Linked DNA regions of Lonchura striata. The protein of the gene in region 2 binds, or shares a complex with, the protein of the main gene of each other region. Links are inferred from orthologs where the notes say so. Each region holds a gene or a part of one and is shown on either strand. Other genes may lie near its edges. The genes, in order: RAMP3, CALCR and RAMP1.

Region 1 (6,958 bases), about 50 Mb from region 2:
AGAGATGTGTTTTTGTTAGAACTCTGTGGTCGGTCTCAAAATAAAATGGTCTGTTTTGTAAAAGTTTATTTGTTTTACACACACACACTCACCTTGGTCTATTAAATTCAGAACTCCTACGATGGTATTCCCTTTCTTTGTTCCACCCTTTGCAGCTGCAGAACAGCATGATATTCATAAGAAAATAATGGGGAAAAAAAAAAAACCTTGATTTGGTTTTCAAACTTTAACCCACTAAAATTGTTTCCTGTTGGATTTTTTTTTTTTTTATCATTGGAATCCAAACTCTCCAGGACTTATATATGCCATGTTTCACATAAGGGCAGCTCAGGACCTTACAGAATTTGGACTTTTATACTCAGCTTTTTCATTATTGTTTGCAGATGAGGTAGTCTTCAAAACAGAAAGTAAAAATGTAATTGGGACCAGGCTGTTTCCAACTGTCCAGCTGCTCAGCTGTGACCAAAGCACTAAGCCTGGCTGACCCCTGTGAAAACAGATTATGAAATGCAAAAACCAACTGACTATCTTTGAAATTTGCACACAAGAACTGCTCCAGATAAGGATCACACTATCTCTCTTGAAATAGGTTTATAGAAATATATTGAGGAAGATTACTCTGGAATTTAAAAAATACCCAGCTTTACTCTGGTAGCATCTTTTTACTCAAATACAAATAGTACCATGGAACTGCAGGTGTTACATAAGGAATGAAGGAGAAACACTTGGGCAGGGATTCCAAAACAATTACCTGTATAAAAAAAACGACTTTGTTAAAAGTGGTCAAGCCCTTACCTCTTCTTACCTCAGTTTCCATACATAGAAGTATACCAAGAAAATTTGGTATGATGGTAAATACAACGCTATTTCTTAGGTGCTTAGATTCCACTGTTAGTAGGTGTCTTACAAGTATCTACAGCTCTGCTAAGCCAAATCAGAGGATTTCACCTGACAGCTGGTGTTTCCAGCTCTTACCCATTCTGGATGTTATTGCACTTCACAGAACTGATGACATGTCTGTGTACCAAGTACCTCGGCTGATGCATTCTTTCCCCTCCACACTCTGTAAATTCAGCTTCTCCTACAATCACTGAGTGAACACACTGCCTTTTTGTCCATCTCACTAAGGATGCACAACACAACAAGTAGTTATGCATAGACATAATGAGTCAAAACTCCTAGGCAGAAAGATAAAGAAAGTAGTTGCCTGTGGTTACAGAACTACAGTCCCACACCCCACCCAGATGGGCTTCCCACTGCCTTCAGTGAGCTTAGCACTGAGGAATAGTGGTTTCACCTTAATGACAGAGGTCACAGCTCTGTGCTTAATTAAAAAAAAAAAAATAAGAATGACCATTCAATTAAAATAAATATTCTTACAAAATAACTATTTTTTAAACTGTGTTTGTATTTCCAAATAAGCAATTTAGTTTTCTACCAATTTAGGCTTTTCTTATAAAAAAACCTGAGTTCACATCCTAAAACTCTAAAGTTTTTCTACTAGGAAACTAGTCTCATTTAATTAGTTCTTGATTATATCTACCCTTTCCAATTCCAAGAAAAAGTAATGTATTATCAGTTAACAGATATTCTTAAAATCTTTTGTGTCTGCGTTATTCAATTAGGACTAGAACTGGCACAGTTAAAAATGTCTAGCACAATTGATTTATCTGTGCCTCTCTGGTGAAAAATGTCCTGTAGCTTCCTGAGCCACAGCGACACTGTCCTTCACTCTAGTAAATCTCTGAAAACAAATCTCCAGTGGATAATTCTACTTTGCAAAAATCACAGCAACATTGCCTCCCCATACAAAAAGATTATTGCCTATTTCCCTAAGTTCAAGACTGCATAAATATTTCACATGTCAATACAAGTGTTGGTTGTCTTTTCAGCTGAGGAATAACAGAAATCTGAGCAACTAAGGTAAGATTTTAGAAGTCCTCAAGCCACAGAGAATCAGAAATTTGTGCATGTAGCATGTCATTCTGTTGACAGACCAGCTAAGGATGATGCTACTGAGCACTGTAGAAACTGTCTATTTGTTTGTGGGTCTTTTCATAGAAATATTGCAGTGTTTAGCAGTTTTGGAAGGGGTCAAAAATAACAAAGTTCTGAAGTCCTCAGATATATCTTCTAAAGGTACCAGGCTTGAATTTTTGTTACTTAAGTGTGACTCACAGGAAATCAACTACATCTCTTAGCTTACTGTTGAGTGAAGATGATCAGAGCTGATTTCTGGCAACTTCAGATGACTGCAACACATTAAATATGAGAGCCCTAAGCAATCTACCTGACAAGGAACAATAGTTTTTCCAGCAGCCAAGGCAGACTAAGTGAAAGATCTGAAGGATATCTGTGCTTGATAGCTACGTGCTTGAAACTCAACTACTCTAACAGGAATCAGCCCTTCATTCTTCAGGAAAAAACCTTTCCCAATAGCCAAACACACCTCCCCAGAATCCGTGTGGGATCCAAGATGGAAATCCTGACTAAGGCAAGAAGTTAGAGATTGTTTACCCCGGGGCCTGGACTCCTCTCAGAGATGTCGGCGCGATGCTGAAGGGGACCACCGGCCCCGCTGCCCGCCAGGCGCGGCTGGAACGCTCTCGCTGCGAAGCCGCCGCTATGCTCGGGATGGAGAGCCCCGGAGGGAAAGTGATCCCCGCTGCGTCCCGACCCGCCGGCAAGGGAGGCCCGGAGACCCCCTCCCAAAGGGATTCTCTAGCCAAAGAAGGGGCGCTCCCACCTTCCCCGAACTTCAGCCCCACGTCCCGGCTTGAAGCATTGCCCTCGGAGACTGCGCACCCGCGAGGATGCTCAGCCCGTCCCGGTGCAGCAGCCCCGGAGCGGTAGCGGCGAGCCCCACCGCACACTGCCGGGACGCCCCCGGCCAGCTCCGCCAGCCACTTACCCCAGAGCAGCAGGACGGGGAGCTGCTGCCGGCGGCTGCCCTGCGCCTCCATCCCGGCGCGGGCGGCAGCGGCCGCGGAGGACGGAGCCCACATGGGGCGGCCAGCTCGCAGCCGCAGAAGGCCCGAACTGGCTTCAGGCCGCCCGCAGGGGAGGCTCTTCATGCCTCGGCGTCCAGCCCCGGGCGGCGGCGGCAGCGTGGGCGGGGGCGCAGGGGAGCAGCTCCTCCGCCCCGGGTGCTTCCAGCAGGGCGGAAACGGCGGCCGGGCCGGGCCGGGCCGGGCGGAACGGGACAGGACAGGGACAGGAGCAGGGGCAAGCACGTGCGAGTGTGCTGTGTGTGCGGCCACAGAAGCGCGGCTGTGCCTCCTGCTCCTCCAACAACCACGGCAGGAGCGATGCCGCTCCCAGCCATCGGTCTGTGTGGCTGCCTAGAGGAAAGGCACCTACCCCCAGGGTGACAGTTCTGGTTGTAACTGTCTGAGGGATTCAGGGATTCTTCACCCCTTGCCCTGGGAGCCAGATCAGTTGCTTTCATCCTATCACAACATCCTGGCGGTGGGGGTGAAGGCATGAGATGCTGGAAGGCCACCTGTGTTAGCTCACTTGCAGCCATTGCACGGCATGTGTTGGCATGCTCAGTATTTACAGCTGAATATGGGGAGTGAGCTTGTCTGACCCCACACAGACCCAGAGCAGCCTGGAGTTCTAAGATGCTACGTGTATGTGTATTTTTATGTTGCAATTTCATCTTTGCCTGTCTCTTTTCAGAGATGGTACAGCTCCTGATTTTCATCAATATTTAAAAGCTGTGTTCCTAGAGCTCTCTAGGAAATTAGCATATCCATCGAGAAACACCAGACTGGGAAGCTGCTAAAGGCGACTTTTCTTACCTAAAAATAGTAGTATTGCTCAGTAACGAGGACTCAGACTGTTCTTCTGGGTACATGGACACTCCACCTCAATAATGGCCTTCTAGTAGAACATTAAATCACTGTCATTATTAAAGGTCAAATGTACCATCAAATTTCAAAAGAGATTTTCAAGCCACACACAGGAACAAAGAGTACTTTTAGGTATCAGTCAGGTTGTTAACATTGACTTTGTACACTTGCCTTGCACAGTGCTCCAAACACTTTTGGAGACTGGGACCCCAAAATGTGCCTTTGTAACCACTGTTTTCAGTACACAACCTTTGTCTGATTTATTCTGTTGTCTAGGCTGAAGGAAATGGAGAACTTCAGAAACCACAGAGAAGGTTGGGAATACAATGTTGAAACAGCTCTGTAGACATTTAAGTGTGTCACTGAGAGTTAACCTCCTATCCCTTGTGTGCCACTTCTTCCACTTAGCTGGAAGCAAAGCTTGTAAAACACCATAAACCATAAATAATCCGTAGCTCAGGGAGATCATCCTTCAGCACAGGGGCTACCATTTCTGCTTTGTAAAGAGTGTTTGCAATCTGCCCCTGCCAGAAGAAGCTGCAGCAAAGTGACAAGCATAAAGGCACATACACCACAGACTAGTTATACCATCTATACATTATGTGTAATATGGATAATTCGTGCCTGCAGGGTGATAGGTGAAATGAAGAAGGTCTTTGCCTTTATTAGTGTTCAGCTCTTTATTAAAAAGTCAGCTCGGCAGGGGGGGGTGTTGTAGCTTCTTCTGGTAGCTGTAGGGTGAGAAGGCGTGCAGAGTCTGTCCCTGGAGTCTCCGTGGCACACTGGTAGCCAGAAGTGAAGAGGTGTCCAGTCTGTATCTGAAGTCCCAGGAGACTGTCCTCTTTCCTTTCCTCCTGGTACACTGGTAGTCACAGGGTAGGGGGAGGATGTGCAGAGCCTGCTGCCGAAATCCTGAAATCCGGCAGCAGCTATCCCTCTCCTGCCCTCCTGGTAACACCAGGTAAAGTGTCTGTTCTCCTTGTGCCTGCTTCCCACAGTCCAATCCAATCTGGTCCTCTGCAGGTTATGGTGACAGGTCAAACACAGACTAGGGATGGGGTTCCCTTTTCCCCAACCAGCACACCCATCCAGCCCCCTCCACTGTGCCCCTCTTTTTCATTTTGGGGTACTTTTCATCCCCAAAACCCCCTCCCATGATTCCACTGGCTTATTTTGCATCCTAGTCCTAGTTTGGGTGGGGGTGTAGGTGATTCCCAGGAGCGATTAGCTAATTAACATTTCAATGTCCATACTTAGCTTAAGCCAAAGTGTCCCAGCCAGGCTGTTTTGTTCATAACAATAGGTATGTAATGTTTCATACTACTGAAATTATTGGCATAAAACATACGAGCCAGAGCTAGGGGGTTGCTTCACATATGTTGAAACTATAGCTGATAAGACTTCATTTACAAGTTAATACACATAGGTCCTTAGGTTCGAGATGGGTCATTTCTCAAGGTGATCTAGGAACTCCCAGGCAATGATTGTCCTGGCTACTACCCAAGATTGAGATCTCTGGAACCACCAAAAGATACATCTCAATACTGAGTTCCCTTTAACTCCATCAAGGATGTACTTCCTGGACAAGGATTGCTTCCTGGACTCCTGTTTGTTCAACTCAGCACGGAGGAAAGAGACTTTATAAAATTGTGGGACTTTGAATGGAAAGAAAAGGCTGATTGCCAAAATCCTGGCCTCGAGCAAAATAAACCATATAAAATCTGCTTGCACATGACGGTCAGTGTGAAACATAGGGGTATGCTGTGTTGGTCAAACCTGTGTCTCACCCAGCACCGATCCCAGTCTCAGCACTGTCCTTTTCTTTGTAGCTGGCTCAGATAGAATTTGATCGCTAAATAATTTTTTTTTTTTTAATTTGGCTAGATTAATTTTTACCTATAACATATAGCATTCTTTCTAACAGTAAGATCTTGATTTCCATCACAAATTCCATTTCTCGCAAATCTGAAAATACAGTTAGTATTTTCAATAATTTAGATTGATTTCCAGGAGGCTAAGCATCATGGTTTATTGCAATATTATATGTTTAAAATGTTTTAAAAGTATAGTATATTATACAGTATAAAGGCAATGCTTTTTGTAACACACCTGGAGATAATGGTGTCGGGTCTTTTTGCATCAATTGCATTTGTTTTCTTCTCCTGTTTCAGATTAAAAACTGGCAAAGTGAGTGTTACTTCTTCCAACTCTCAAGATTCAGGAAGCACTTACCATTTTGTGCTTGCAGCACATAGTTTGAAGGTGCAAACAGTATCTCTGAGGTAGAAAAAATTGATAGAATTTATAGGTAAATGCACTAATGCAGCATGTTGCATTGTGTTATGTGTATTTTGGATAATTCATGCTTATAAAAAGAAATATATATAGAATATGTTATGTTGGTCAGAAATATTCTTAAAAGGTTTTAAGCATGCAAGCCAGAGTTGGGAGATTGCTTCAAGATATGTCAAAACCGCTGACAAGAGAGAGGAGGACCTCATTTGCAAATTAATGAACGTAGCAAGGTGATCCGAGGAACTCCGAAGCGATGAATACTTCATAAATACATCGGAAAGATACATCTCAATGCCACGTTCCAGTAACTCGACGATGGACTTACATCACGCTTTGGATACAGTTTTGTTCAGCTTGACCTGGAGAAAAGAAACTATGTGAATATACTACTCTGAAAGGAAGAAAATCTTGATCGCAGAAAACTCTGCCTCGGGCAGAATAAACTGTATAAGAACCGCTGGGACAGGACAATCAGTGTGAACATAGGAGACCCTATGCTGTAGCGGTTGGACCTATGTCTCACCCAGTGCCGATCCCGGGCTCGGCTCTGTTCTTTCGATTGTGGCTGTCTTAGACCAAATCTTGATCGCTGAATAAAAATCTGATTTATTAATTATTAATTATTAATTAGGCTTGATAATTTTTACCTATAACAATTGGATCACAAGCCAGCTATGGTAGGTGATATCTTCAGCAACGTGTTCTAAAATGAGTAAGTCTGATTCACATTTGAACAAAACTGTGACAGCAGTAGAACAGTCCTCAAGATGGTTCAAAAAACTTAAGCAGTTTGCAGTTTTTCAGTAAGA
Region 2 (6,930 bases):
GAGTGTAAGTCAAATCTGAACTGCCTATTCCTCTTGAAAGAACAATACAGTTTACTCTGTATAGCTTTTAAAAACAACTATTAAGAGCTGTGTGGCTCTTATCCATGATTCTAAAGCAGTTACATGTAGAGATGTTTGAAGTGCCATCACTAGCCAGATTTAAACATTGCCACTTCAACTACAAAGTAAATTTGGTTGTCACTCACTATAAATGATAATGAAGATGTACACTGAAACCCACCCTTTGGAGGGGTTAATTGGGATTTTGCCATTTATCTTAACAGGACCAACATCTACCCAAGATTTATAGAGTTTTCATACTCTAATACATACCAGTAGATACAGAAACACAGTTTTTAGTTCATTCAGAACTATTTCATGTCAGCTAGCATATGACAGCTATAGTAAGAATCAGAGTGGTAGCTTAGCAAAAGTTGCCTACCAGCAAAGGTTATCGCATGTCTGAAGAAATTACACTGAAGTATTAGCTCTCCTGTATTTAATTTATCTACTTGACAATTATGCCTAGGATTCTGAGAGGTGAATTAAATTCTCTCTTCAGCTCAACACCACCTGCAGTTTGAGCTGTTGGCAGCAAAGAAATGTCATCCTGGTCAGCCCTGATACACAGCCCTAAAGCAGCATAAGGACCCTTTCGCTGACCAAACACAAGGGTTCCCCCAACAGCGTCATCCTTCAACCACTGAGGGGGAAAAGGAGCAGAAGCAAGACCTTAATTTCATTCAGTGCCTATGAAAAAGCAAAGGCATTATATTGTGATGCCTTGTTTAATTCATTCTATACTCCCTCTAATCAGACTACTTAACTCTAAAGTGCACAGTCCTGAGAAGAGTATCACACACTGCATTACCCTTAAGAAGTTCAAGGGTTACCAGTGTATGTAAAAGCTTGTCAGGAAGACATAATCTGTTAGATATCGACAATATTGACTTTGAGAGGTCTTAGGACACACATCTTTCTATTGACTCTTTTTTATGAATGATTTTTTCATTCATCATTTCAGCTACAATTGCCATTCTGTAACTAAAATAAACCAGAAGTTTTTCTCTCCTTTGCAAATTGTCAACTACATTAACCTTGTCAAAAAAACCTACAAGAATGAAATCAATATAGCAATTTAAAGACAAAATTGACAGGCACTATATTGTATTTGGACAGATTCAGTAAATAGCCTCCTACATCAATCTACTGTCATCAATGGCAATATTCTAAAACCTACTAATGTTGTTTATTACATTTGCGGTGTGAAACGCCAAAGTAAGTACAGATACCGGTCCAGCAGAAGAAAAATAACACGGAGATAACATCTGACGTGCCCGAGAAGCACGAACTAGTGACTCAGGTGTCATTTAAAGGCGCTGTAGTTCCAGCGCGGAGAGCGGCTGCTCTACAGCCGGTACGCTGCCGGCACTGACTTGCTCCCCAGCGCAGAAGCCGCAGCGCAAACTCCGGGATCCACCGTGCCCCGTGCCCGCGCTGCGCCCCGACCGCCGGCTCCGGGCAGCGGCGGCCGGCCGGCCCTCGCCCCTTCCCACAGGGTGCCCCGCACACGCTGCCCAGCGGGTCGGAGCTCCTACAACCCACTCCCTCTTCCACCTAAATTTTGGGTGCAGTGCCAGCCAGAGACTGTGTTCCCCCCGGTACCCCGCTCCCGCCTGCCCCGCGGCCGCTGTCCCGGGGGCGGCGGGTGGGAAGGGCTGGCGGCTAAGTTGCCAGGACTTACGGTGGCAGCGCTACCGACGCTGGCGCGGCACCTCTCCCGGCCTCCCGTCACCTCGGGCCACCTCCGCGGCGGCTCCGTGCCCGCACCCGAGCAGCCCGGCCGCCCCTTCACTCCTCGGAGGGGCGCATGGCGCTGCCCGCTCCCCGAGACCCACCCGGTGGGTCTTCGCGTCCCGGAGGGGGCGGACAGCCACTGGCCAGGGTCGAGCCCCTCCGGCGGGGCTGCGCCTCGGGAAGCATCTGCCTGCTCTCTCCCGCGACGCGCCCACTCCCCGCTCCACCCCGGGCGCGGCGGGGCTTCGCGCCGACGTCGGTGCGGGGCGGCCGGAGCCCGCCCGGCGGCGGCGGCAGCGCCTCCCCCGCCCCCGCCTCCCGCGGCTCCGGCGCTGCCGCCGGCGGGGCGGCCGTGCCGGGGCCGGCGCTGCGGGGGCGGCGGGAGCGCGGCCGTGCGGCGCTCCCCACACAGCGCCCGAGGAGCGGGGGTCCTGCTGCGCGGGGCCGAGAGACGCCCGGCCAGGGGCAGGGACGCGTCCCCCATGCCCCTCGTCCCCGCGGGGGAGGGGGGCTCGGCAGCCCGGCCGACTGTCCTTTGTACCGGAGGTCCCTTCCGTGCGGGGCCGGGAGTTCCCGGACCGCCATCGGCCGGGCTCTATCCGCACTGGGGGTGCGTCGCTCCGCAGGAGCTCGGACCCGGCGATGTCAGAGGCTCGGCCGGCGACCTCGCCTCCTCCTCCTCCTCCTCCTCCTCTTGGAGGAGAAGATCTTCAGATCCGAGCCAGCGTTGAGCTTCTATCGCGGGCATCTTTTGGAAAGGAAAGCCTGGGGAGCATAGGGCGTGGAGTGTGGGACCCCTGCGATCCGGCACCTGGGCGGGTGGGGCGCTGCCCCCGCAGCGGATCGAGGGTTGCTGGGGCCCGTGGGCGCCCCGGGGATGTTGTCCCGCGTCCTCCCGTCTGCCCCGTCTCCTCTGATGCTCTTCCAGCTTGCATGAACCATCTACCTACCGTCCACCAAGCTGGGGAGGATGAGCAAGAGGTGGCCGCAGCGTTCATCCGACGGCAGAGTCATCTAAATTCCCGTTTCTGCTTCAGAAGTCATGTAAACGTTTTAAACTAACTCTAAGAAGAGGCCGTGAAAGACCTGGTTCCAAGCACCTCTGGGTACCTCTGGTCTCCTCAGAAAAGCAGACCCCAGCTACACGGGCATCCAGGGGCAATTAAGCCAACACCCCCCCACCACCTCTCGGAAGAGCGTCGAGTGGTGGTGCATGAAGTAGTGCAGGGGAGGACTTTTCTGCTATGACTGTTGCAAGCTGCCCAATATTTAAATATCCAGAGAGCCACAGTGAGGGTGGGAGCCCAGCGAACGCACGGTGATTCACCTCAGCGCTCCTGACGAACATGCCAGCGCGGATAGCAGGTAGTGGGGTGTCTTCCCAGCAGGTGGAGTCAGGAGGCAAACAAACTTGCTCAAAAGGTACCGCCACCCGGCTGAGGACAGCTTTTTAATTTCGTTTTTCTGTGTGAAGGGTTTTGCTGCCATCAAATAAAGTGAACCCTGGCTTTAGAGTCGCCTGGCTTACTTCTGAATGGAAAGTTAGCACCTGCTGAAGCAGTTCTCAGGTGTTTTTCTTCCAGCTGCCACTTTCTCTTACAGACTACAGCCAAATTTTACAGCTTGCCTTTCTTACAGAAACCTGCATGCAAAAGCAGCTGGCTGCCTTTTTGCGGCTCAAGCCATTCTGAGAAGGGTGGGAGGGACAGGAACAAGGGAGCTTAGTGCTCCGAAGGAGGTGCTGGGCTTAGCATGCACCAAGGTCCAAGAAAAAGGAACTTTTTGCCACTTTTCCCAGCAGCTGATAAAAGAGTTCCTCCAGATAATACCATTGAAGAAAATTGTCCTCCTTCACATTGGGGTGGGGGGGGAAACCATGATAAGAATTGAGAGACTCAAAGAATACTGATGTAAATTGTTATCCCTTTAGGATTTAAACTTTCACTGTTGGTTTTATCCTTTTATCTTTTTATCTCCTGTGGAGAAAAGAGAACCAGTGGAAGCCAAAGAGAAACAGTGGAAGCTGCTTTTATGAGCTCTCATAGTGCCACAATTCACTCTTCACAGCATTCTCTGGTAGGAGAAGTTACATCAGGGGATGTTCTCATTAGCTGCACTAGGTCTGGCACCACGGAGCAGCACCCCTATGGACTCACTGCAGTCGTGTCCCTCTCATGCCACAGCTGCCCCGCGGTGGGCTTGGGTGAGTCACAGTTCTAAATGCTTCAGATGTTTGTGGAAGAGGAGCTGCTCAGAAGGAAAACCTTATGCTGAAGCCTAGGGAAAGTGGGAGATTGCCCCTTCCTGACACTGCAGCAGTAAATTGAAAGAGGCAAAATAGACAGCCAGTTTCTCCCAAGGTCCAGCTATTTAGGGTTTTTTTGTATGTTACCCAGCTAGTACTGTTCATTCTATAATTGGAATGCATCACATTTTAACTGATGGGTTTTATATTTTTTTCAAAATGGATTGCATGTTTCTCTGTTTTCTTAGTGAATAGTATTCATCTGCTTAAGTATAAATCTGTCATCCCATAATCTGGAAATAGCTTTCCTAAAGTCTGGGTGGTTTTTTAATGAATTCCTATTTTGTTAACCATTACCTTGACACAGAAGCAGCACTTTCTCATTTGTTCTGCTTTAAGCAATTCCCCTGTGCCCCATGGGACTGCAAGCATGAGTACTTACTTCTTAGTATGTGTGTGAAATACTGATCCCACCCATAAATAACTACTGGAAATTATTAACTGTACCCAATGGTTTTATTTCCGCCTGTGCTCAGGAGTCATTACAACACTGAATTCTGCAGAGAAGAGGCTGAGCTAGTGTTCTATGTTGTGATATTATAGTTTTGCTTTGTACGTGAAAAGTGAGGGAGGTCCAAACCTTCTAAAATTTCAGTGATTTTTTTTTTTGTTATGAGGGAAAATATTTTTCCACACAGTATGTAAATTTTGCAGTTGTGTAATTTGTCTCATTTGCACCATCTTTTATTCTGTAAATGTATTTTTTTTTTTCATTTAATGGTTCTAGAAGTAAGGATGCCACTTGTGACAGGCACTCTGCTAATTTTCTTGGTCAGGTGAAGAATTCAAAAGAAAAATTCCCAGCTGGATCTATCAATTGTGTAGAGATATTTCCAAAATCTTTTGCAGATGCCTGCATTGCAAGCTGTATGGAGACAAGTTATTTTCTGTCATAAGTTATATATCTTTTTTGCTTGGCATGGTGTACCCCATAGGAATTACCCAGAGCACAGTATTATCAAAGAAGAGTTTGCTCAGATTTGGTTTGTTTGAAGCATGGGAGGTGTGAGCATTGAGCTGTCTACAGAAGGCATGCTGTATCTTTTGATAAAATGATTGTAAATAATGCATTTGAGTGAGGTCTATATTCAGAACTTGGATAAAATACTGGAATTTGCAAAACACATCATTTAAATAAAAAAGGTAATACATTCACCCTAATCCAGTTCAGGGTCAAAAGAATGGGACTTTGCCATTGGTTTTAGCATAAGTTATGTCAGTCCCTATAAGGCCTACATAGGAATATTTAATTATTTACATACAACTTGGTATTCTTCACTCCTGGAAGTGATCTGGCTGAAAACTCTGAGAACAGTTACAGCACTATCAGCAGCAATGCAGGCTTCCAAAGCCTGCCTGCTGGAAAACACATCAGCTCTGTGAGGGGGAAATTCATAGAGTGATTATAGCTGCCATTCAGACCAAGCATCCCTAATGAGATAATTTTGCTTTTCATTTTTGGAAAAGGAGATCACTCCAGAATTAGGGGTTTGCAGAGTGACAGGTAAACATATTTAAGAAACTACTGTCAGTTGCAGAAGTCCATTCCCAACATGAAAGGAAACATCAGGAGAACTACAGAAATGCTCAAGAGTCTGGAAAACACGCAAACAGTTTAGACTAGGATTATTTAAAGAATAGAACAGTGTTTTATTTCTAATCCCATAAACTATCCAATTATTCAAGAACTGTCTTTTTAAAACAGCTCTTTTCAAAATTAATGATTGTTAATTTTTTGTTAGCTTTGTTTTGTAGAAACCTGAAAAATCAGGACTCATGTATTTATCCAATATCAGGTAACTCATTAGAGTAATGTATAAATTGTTTTAATGTCACAATAGAGTTATTTAAATCAGTTGCATAATGCACAATAATCTCAGTATTTCTCTTAATGTACAAAAAAGGCATGGGTAATTACATTTGTCTCTTTGCTTAAATTTATATTTTTAACTTATATTATGTCATTTAATCTCCCTGAGTTGATTCTTCAGTTCACAACTCAGGATGTTCTAAGAGGATCTCCAAAACATTTTAAAGTGAAGGAAAAAAACCCTGACATATGCCTCTAGAAGATAATTTGTTGGGTTTTAGTGTGTTTTTTGGGTTTTTTAAAGAACAATGCATTCAGTCATTAATTTGGAGAAACAAAAGCAAAGAAATAGAAAATGAAAAATACAAAAAGTTCACTTGTATCCAAGTTTTCAAAGAATAAACAAAAATGAATAGAGACATTCCAGTTGTTGTACTTCTGCCACATTCAATTTTCTCTAGAAGAGGCTATTTTAATTTAGCAATACTTGTTTTCATTAGTACAGCACTCAATAGTTATCCATATTGGTAGTAGAAACACAGTGGGTTTTGCTTGCACTGTGTAGAGAAGGGAAAGGAAAAGCAAACAAGATAATGAAAATCTAGGGAATGTTTCCAAAGAGTGGGCATCTGATTCCCTCAGAATGAGCAAGTATTTTCTATCTTCACTTGGAATCCAACACCCCAGGCTTCATTAAGCCAGTGTCTAGCTGTACATGATTCTAGAGAGAATGTCAGCCAAGCATCAAAAAGAAAATCTGTTCAGGAGAATTAAATGCACTGGCAGTTACAAGAAATGTCCTCTCTAGTGCTTGTGCGGTATATAAATCATAAAATATTCTAGATTACACAAAATTTCACTAGAAACTATTTAAGAGCCTTATGAGATGTCTACAAACCACCAGCAGGCATATTTAATAAATCATACATACTTATGAAGTCACATCAATGTAAGTTTCCCCTTAATACAAAAATGTATTTAAAACAAGAAATTTCACATTATTTGAAGTTCAAAGTAC
Region 3 (6,936 bases), on a different chromosome or scaffold from region 2:
TTTTCTCTCTAGGCTGTCCAAAGTCTATGGAGAAGATGTCAGCTCAAGAACAGTCACTCTTTACTTTCTTACATTTATTACTAGAAGTGAAGACAGTGGGGAGTGGGAATGAACAATCTTCTGTTCCTGTTGGTGGTCCAAAAACCTCAGTGCCTGAGGTAGGTCTGTTCTTAATTTGTAGGAGGAATTTCTTGCCTCTTTAAGGCTTCTTTCATACTCTGCATTTACTACCAAGAGCCTTGATTTGAAATCACCTACTCAACAGCTGGCACATTGTTTGCTTGGAGATAATCAGAAGGGAAGTAATTATTGCTCACACTACTTTGTGTGGCAGACTAAGCTTTAAATCTTCCTGTCACGTAACATTTAATAGATAGAAAATTATGTAAGGATAGGAAAATATGTAACATATTGGTAATAAGTTTCTGTCATGTGGCAGAAGAGTGAAAGCACCATTCTTTTGCCCCTGCATCAGACTGTGACACCCCAGCTGGTTTTTCTGAATCCTAGGACAGTTTGGAATTTCCACGTTTGCACTACATTTTTCATCTTGCAACACCAGTTTTTTTAATGTAAGCGTCCTGTGGCTTTATACAGGAAAGATTTTGGGGTAATGGATGGGAAGGAAACTCTTGGATTTTCCAGCATAAATCTAAGAAATCTATACATACAGTGTTTTGTATTGGCTCAGCTTAGTCCTTGGAGAGTAAAGGGCAATTCAGTAATTGCTGGTGTTGCTCACATAAACCCCACAGATTTGCTGTCTTTGGGGATTTCCCTTTAAACATGCTGGTCCTTTGGGAAATGGTAATTGGATCTACTTTAAAGTAGCAGGAATAAGATGAGCTTTAAGGTGCCTTGCAACCCAAACCATTCTGTGGATCTAGGATTTTATATTTATTTGTAGGAAAGAGGTGTTTTATTACCCGTACAACCCTTAAGCCATGCATTTTTTTCCCTTATTTTGATGCACTTCTAGGATCCTGGGGAAAATTCCCTGCAGAAAACATCCATTTGTTCCTCTGTGGACCCATCTGGTATCTTTGTTTCTCCTTACGCACTGAACTTGAGCAGCTTTACCAAGTTAATAAAGAGACTCCAAAAAAGGCATCCAGGGTTTAGCAGGTGAGATATTTGGATTTCTTTTTCGCCCTAATTTGTAATGTAGTCAATACGCATGCTAACCAATCACTAAATGTGTGGCACAAAACATGATGTTCACGGTTATTTCCTTCATTCCCACAGAGAGGAAATTGCAGGCGCAGTGCAGGAGGTGAGGAGAATCAACAAGGGTGTCCTGAGTGGCATGGCCATCAGTTCTATTGAGGAGAAGGCCTCTGACATTCTGAGTTCTCAGCAGCAGAAGCACTGAAAGAGGTGAATATTCCAGGCTAAAGGAAGTAAACCCACCCTACAGCCTGACTAGATTATTGCAGCCTCTGGCCCTGCAGGAGGTACCGGGGTGAATCCACTGGAGCAGCGGTTTATAAAGACTGGGAGCTGTAAAACAGGTTGCATTCTATAAATCTTGGTGTACTGGTGGTTTATTACTGAATATGGGGATTTTTGAAGGCATTTTGAACAAGGTAGAGACAGGACCTCTGAGTTTTTAGGTTATGTGGTTATTTTTCTTCTATATAGATAGAAAGGATGAGTTTGACTCACTAGTGCATAGTTCAGAAGGTCACAAGACCTTTAGTTATAAGACCTTTTAAAGCTTTATTGGCCAATAAAACACTGCCAACAAGGATATTTAAGTTTTTTGACCCAATTTTTAAATATTTCCTCTTATGAACTCATGCTACAGTGTAAGCTTTCTTAGTCAGTCATGTTATGACACACAAACCTACAGTACTGCATTCTGAACTCCTTGTTTATCTTTGTAACTGTTTACATTTTTTCTCTATCTTAAACTTCAAAAGTGTAAACTTTTCTGTTCTTAATGTGTCTCTTCTTTAAACTATAAATCCACATTCTCGCTTCTAGCACCTAAGTTTGGAAGACTTTTCCAAGTCAGATCAAAGCCTGTGTTTAATTCTGAGCTTTGGCTTACAGGCCCAAAGTCCTGAGAATCCCCTGTATTTTGGATTCCAACAGCTGGACTGCCTCACTGCTGAGCTGTGTGGAGGGCACTGTCTGCGTTCAGTGCACAGCTGACACCTAAGGGCCAGGCCTTGTGTAGCCTCTCACCCGAAATCCCAGCCCTGGCTCCCTCTGGATCCAAACACTGATGGTTTCTGTCTGCTGCCTGGGCCAGCTCTGGGCTGGAAACCTGACAGAATCAGACTGTGTCTTGTTATTTTCTCTCACCGATGCTTTTGGTCGTGTGGCGCTGCAGCAAGCTGAAGGTGCTGAAATTACAGCCCAGAGTTCCAGGGATGTGTGTCCATCCTTGCTTTAGTCTCCTGCTCAGCTTGGTGCTCTGCTTGCTTTAGGGACCTCCTAGCAGCGCCACTGCCACATTTCCTGCAAAAGTCTTCGGATTAATCTCCTGGCTGACTTTCACAGGACTGTAGATAGGGACAGAAACTCATCCCCAAAACATTAAAATCTTATGCTTGGAAGCATTTTCAGTCAGTTTTAACAGCCTCAAAATGTGTTGTGCTTTCCTTATGGAGTGATTATTTGGTTTTCCAGTGGTGCGTGGGCTCTGCAGTCCAAATTGTTCATATTACAGTATTTTTTCCCTGTTGTTTTGTGTGGGAGATGATGACTTATAATAATTTTTATTTTTAACATGAGGGAGGTGTGAAATGGCCAAGGCATTACTAAATAATGGGGAAATAAGAATCCCCATTTTCCACAGTAAGAAACAAGTATATAATACATTTAAGAAAAGGTGATTCTGCTCAGAGATCACCTAACCCAGTCTCTTGTTTGTACTTTGTTGCAATTGCTGCTGGAAATAACAGCCTTGTTTACTGTCAATAAAGGTTAAAATTTGTTCTTCAAAAGAGTTGGGTCAATGCTGTGCTGTTTGCAGACCTCTTCTGCTGCCTGTCCCCGTGGCAGAGCCATGGCTCTGTGCTGTGCCCTTGGTCCCAGTGCTGCAGGTGAGGCCGCGGCTTTGGTGTCTCGGGCTCTGACAAGATGGAAGCAGTCCCAGGCTTTGCTCTTCACCTCATTACCAGCAGCTGTTGTTCCCCAAGCCGGGCTCTGTGATTAGGCGGGTGCTAATAGTTCAGGAGGAACTGGCTGTCTTGTTCCTCTTGGGAAAGCAAAGTGTGCACGATGTGAAAGACTCGAGTTAGCAAACTCTGCTGTTCCTTTTTTATTGACCTTCGAGAGGGAGAGCTGACCTCAGGCGTGAGAGAAGCGAGCTGTGGGGCAGTGACCCCGCTGCAGCAGAGTCCTGCCCTGCTGCACGGGCGTATCCCGATCCGGAGCACCTGAGGCTCTGCTGCTGGGGCACAGCTCCGCAGCGAGCTGCAGGTGGAGCTGTAGGAGCTCGGGAGCGGTGCTACACTCCAATAAACATTAAAGCGGAAACCACAAAACATTCCTCCTTAAAATCGCCTTCCATGTGTATGTTCAGCCCTAGAAAGGGGGAGAAGGCAGGATGTTTTAGCTAGGGAGAAATCCCCTCGCTGGAGGTGGAACCGGGGTTGAGGAAGGCGGGCTGCTCCGTGCTTTCCTTCGGAACTGTTCGCCCGTGGGCTGCGAGGGGGAGAGGGCGATAAGGAGAGCCCGGGCTCCATCTCCGTCCCGCTGTCCCCGCGGGAGCGCTCCCGCTCCTGCGGCCCGCGCTGCCGCCGGGAGAGCGGAGCGGAGCCGGGCGGGGCCGCGGCCGCCCCGGGCCCGCCCTCCCTCCGGCAGCGCCGCGGGCGCGGAGCCCGCCCGGCCCCGGCAGCGGAGCCGCGGCTGCCGTGGGGCCATGGCCCTGCTCCCGCGGCGCTTCCTCTGCTTCGTGCTGGGTAAGTGCGGCCGCCGCGGCACAACTTCCCCGGGGCCGCCGCGCCAGGCTCCCCGGGACTCCCTCTGCGCCGGGCGCGGGCGTGCATCCCCGGCCGCCTCCTCCGCGCTCCCACCGCTCTCCCTGAAGCCCGGCCAGGCTCCAGCCTGGCTTCGCTGGCGACACAGCAGTAGGGAAAGGAAAAGGAGAAATTATTCCAGGGCGCTTGGCCTCGGGAGCAGTGAGGTGGTGATGCTGTGGGACGCAGCCTGCTTTGTAGGGGGATTCTCTGCTTGCTAGGCGAGCTGGACCGAGGCGGGTTCTGTCTCTGGTCCGTGCCTTTTGTTGGAAATGTTTAATTACTGCCTTTTGTAGTCTGTCTTCCCATTCCTGAGCCGCAGGGAAGAGGAGGTAGCCAGAAGTGCCTCTTCAAAGAGCTGAGGTCGGATGTTCTGGGGTTTACGGGTGGAGGGCTTGGAAACGCTGGAGTTGTGTGCTTGTTTCCATGGGATGCCTCGGTTTCTTCGCTGCTCCTAGCATTTCAGTGCAACAGGTAAAGACTTGTGCCGTGCTTGTCACCTGTGTGCCCTCAACAAAAGCTCGGAGGGGTGGTGATGGTGTTGGTGCTGTGTAAAAGTGTGTTTATTTAAGGTGCTCCAAAGGGAAACCGCACCCCCTCATCTTAAGCTGATCTTCCACAAAAGGTGCTCCTGAGGCAGCACAAATTTTTCCTTCTTTCCCTTCCTTCCCCTGTGCTGGTTTTTTCCCCCCAAACCCTGGGGAGTAACGCAGTGAGCCGTGCTACACATGATGTGCTGATCTGTACCATGTAATTAACTATTTACTACTGTAATTAACTATTTACTACTCCTCAGCTGTGCAGGGCAGGAGCAGCCCGTGCCCTTGGACGAGGCACATTTTCCTGCGGGGTTGCAGGGAAAAGCTGCACAGCCCTGTGCAGAGAGCGCTATCTCCTGCTAGCTAGGATTTCTCTCTGCTCTTTTTTCCCTGCCCCGTCTCCTTTTCCTGACTCTCCCTTCTCTTTGCTGGGGAGCTGTAACTTTTAAAAGTACTCCAGGCTGCTCCTTTCCATCTCCAGTGGGCTCAGGAGCAGGAAGATGCTGCCTCTTGTGTGAACCAGGTGCCCAGTGACAGCTCATCTTGGTGCTGTAGATGTTTTTCACTACATTCTCCTCCTGGGATTTTGTATTTTGAGCACATTTAACAAAAAGACCCACTTACTCTTTTTACACCTTTCTGCTTTTACGGCCCTGCACACAGTCAGGGCTGCCCTGAAATTGCAAGTGGCAACTGAGTGCTCAGAAATCAAGGTGATTTGCACCAATGCAGGTATTTTAAAATGAGATTTTTTTTAAAAAAAAGAGAAGGGTCTGAGAGAAAAACCTTTCTTTTAAAGCTTGAGCTTTAAGAAATTTCACCACTGGCTGCAGTCTTTAAAAAGCAATGGCAGCCAGGGAATCAGTCATCCTAAAAGTCTCATTCAGCAGGCCAGGGATCCAGCTGTACCCCGAGGTAACCACTTCCACTGGGGCTTTTTCTGGGTTTTGACTGCAGCTTCCTGCAGAGGCTGCTCAGGGAGGAGGGGATGAGGCAGGCTCTTGCTGTTACTGGGGCAGTGATGATTGGCACCACACACAGCTCTGTGCTGGGCTGCTTGGATTTTTTCTGGGTGTAGATAACTATTACTGTGAGAGGTAAGAGGCAGTTGCAAATAAGGTTGGTAAAACATTAATACCTTCTTGATTCCCTGCATCTTTTCTCTGTGCTGTACAGCACTGTGTTTGCATAGTCTATAGAAAACGATGCTTTCTTAAAAACAAAACTTCTAGGCAGTGTGTATGACCTTTCCTGGAAAACAGGAATTAAAGTGCTTTGTGTCTTCTCTCAGGCCAAAGCACACTCGGTAATGCCTGCCACTGATTGCAGTTTGAGTGCCTCCTTAATCAAAAGCTAAAGCTCCCTTTAAACTCGAACTTAAGGCTGCTGCCTCTCTGAGAAAATCCCCAATATTTACAGAATGCCTCGTTAGAAATCCCTGACAATAAAGTAAAACATTCCTCCTCCTTTGAGAGCATCTCTGGCATGGAGAGGACTCAAAACTTCCTATGCATCAAAAGAGAAGCACGTGAATAGGAACAACAAAATTGCCTCCACCCTGTAATTCCTTGTACTGCTCCCATAGGTGCCAGTTGTTTTGCTGCAGGAACCAGTGGCAGGTGGGTTTGGTGGGCTGGCTGGAGGCTGTGTGATGTTGTCAGGAAGCCTCTTGGCTTTGAGGAATAGGGTTGCATTTATTAGCTCTGAAACGATGCTGAGTTTAAGTGAAGCACTGGCACAGCAGCCTCCTGCAGTAATGCAAATACAAATGCCATGGCCTGGATGGAATGAAATGAGACCTCATAATGGGTAAAGATGGGCTTGGCATCTTTTACCTTTCCACAGGGCTAGAAATCAACGTTGGGGTTGTGGCAGAGTTGAGGGATGTCTTGGAAAGCCGTGGGTGGGAGTCTGGAGTTGCTGCTCTGCTCTGGCAGCTTTGTTCTGCCTCCCTGACTGGATGCAGAGTCTGGCTCTGTCATTTTTTGGGGGGAAGTTCAGGGCAGATTTGTGCCCCAAGTCCGTGGCTGTGGTCAGAGCCCTTCCCAGCACGGTGCCTGCACCAAGCCAGGACCTAAAGCACCACTGGGTTGGAGCAAGAGGAGCATTAAAAACCCATTAGAGGGGAAATGCAGCATTTTAGCTCACTCAGATAGCTAAATGCCTTTTGCTGCTCTAAAATACAGCCACGGCTGGGGTTTGCCAGGTCAGTTCCTCTATGGATGGGTGATTACCAGGGAATCTTCATCCCTATCTGCCATTACACTGCCTGCAGAGCTGGGTGCTTTTAATCATCAAATCCTCTAATGAAGCTGCTTCATGGTTTCAGTCCCTTGTCTCTGTGCTTCTACAGCATGAGCTTTTGGGGATCTGAAAACACATCCTGACACCTCAGAGAAGCACTCCAGTGGGGAGGCAGGCAGCAG

The links.
Region 1: the proteins of CALCR (region 2) and RAMP3 are in contact, whole or in part, in a cryo-EM structure (PDB 8F0K), measured with the Homo sapiens proteins. The link is inferred for Lonchura striata from reciprocal best matches to the Homo sapiens genes CALCR and RAMP3. Residues at the interface, in NP_001158210.1 of Homo sapiens: Arg45, Lys46, Met49, Asp50, Gln52, Tyr53, Lys54, Tyr56, Asp57, Met59, Gln60, Arg74, Thr75, Trp76, Asp77, Gly78, Asn124, Arg126, Phe235, Leu238, Ile242, Thr246, Gln257, Arg258, Trp261, Tyr262, Leu264, Leu265, Phe269, Ile276; in NP_005847.1 of Homo sapiens: Cys57, Leu59, Ile63, Tyr66, Glu67, Thr70, Tyr83, Trp84, Pro85, Gln90, Ile93, Thr94, His97, Arg98, Phe101, Ser102, Cys104, Val106, His110, Leu111, Glu112, Asp113, Pro114, Val118, Leu119, Leu122, Ile123, Pro126, Val127, Leu129.
Region 3: the proteins of CALCR (region 2) and RAMP1 are in contact, whole or in part, in a cryo-EM structure (PDB 9AUC), measured with the Homo sapiens proteins. The link is inferred for Lonchura striata from reciprocal best matches to the Homo sapiens genes CALCR and RAMP1. Residues at the interface, in NP_001158210.1 of Homo sapiens: Arg45, Lys46, Met49, Asp50, Gln52, Tyr53, Tyr56, Asp57, Met59, Gln60, Gln61, Thr75, Trp76, Asp77, Gly78, Asn124, Arg126, Phe235, Leu238, Ile242, Thr246, Val250, Ala251, Gln257, Arg258, Trp261, Tyr262, Leu265, Phe269, Ile276; in NP_005846.1 of Homo sapiens: Trp59, Ile63, Tyr66, Arg67, Ala70, Asp71, Phe83, Trp84, Pro85, Val89, Asp90, Phe93, Leu94, His97, Gly98, Phe101, Ser103, Arg109, Ala110, Val111, Arg112, Asp113, Pro114, Ile118, Leu119, Phe122, Ile123, Pro126, Ile127, Val129.

The regions. Positions count from the first base shown.
Region 1 is NC_134603.1:82,686,579-82,693,536, reverse strand, and holds the start of RAMP3 (receptor activity-modifying protein 3), read right to left. Parts: upstream 3,089-6,958; 5' UTR 3,075-3,088; coding exon 2,912-3,074; intron 1-2,911. UniProt on the Homo sapiens protein: Accessory protein that interacts with and modulates the function of G-protein coupled receptors including calcitonin gene-related peptide type 1 receptor (CALCRL), calcitonin receptor (CALCR) and G-protein coupled estrogen receptor 1 (GPER1).
Region 2 is NC_134603.1:133,051,652-133,058,581, reverse strand, and holds the start of CALCR (calcitonin receptor), read right to left. Parts: upstream 3,046-6,930; 5' UTR 2,748-3,045; intron 2,032-2,747; exon of another isoform or gene 1,745-2,031; intron 1-1,744. UniProt on the Homo sapiens protein: G protein-coupled receptor activated by ligand peptides amylin (IAPP), calcitonin (CT/CALCA) and calcitonin gene-related peptide type 1 (CGRP1/CALCA).
Region 3 is NC_134610.1:38,601,721-38,608,656, forward strand, and holds the start of RAMP1 (receptor activity-modifying protein 1), read left to right. Parts: upstream 1-3,833; 5' UTR 3,834-3,874; coding exon 3,875-3,914; intron 3,915-6,936. UniProt on the Homo sapiens protein: Accessory protein that interacts with and modulates the function of G-protein coupled receptors including calcitonin gene-related peptide type 1 receptor (CALCRL) and calcitonin receptor (CALCR). Required for the transport of CALCRL to the plasma membrane.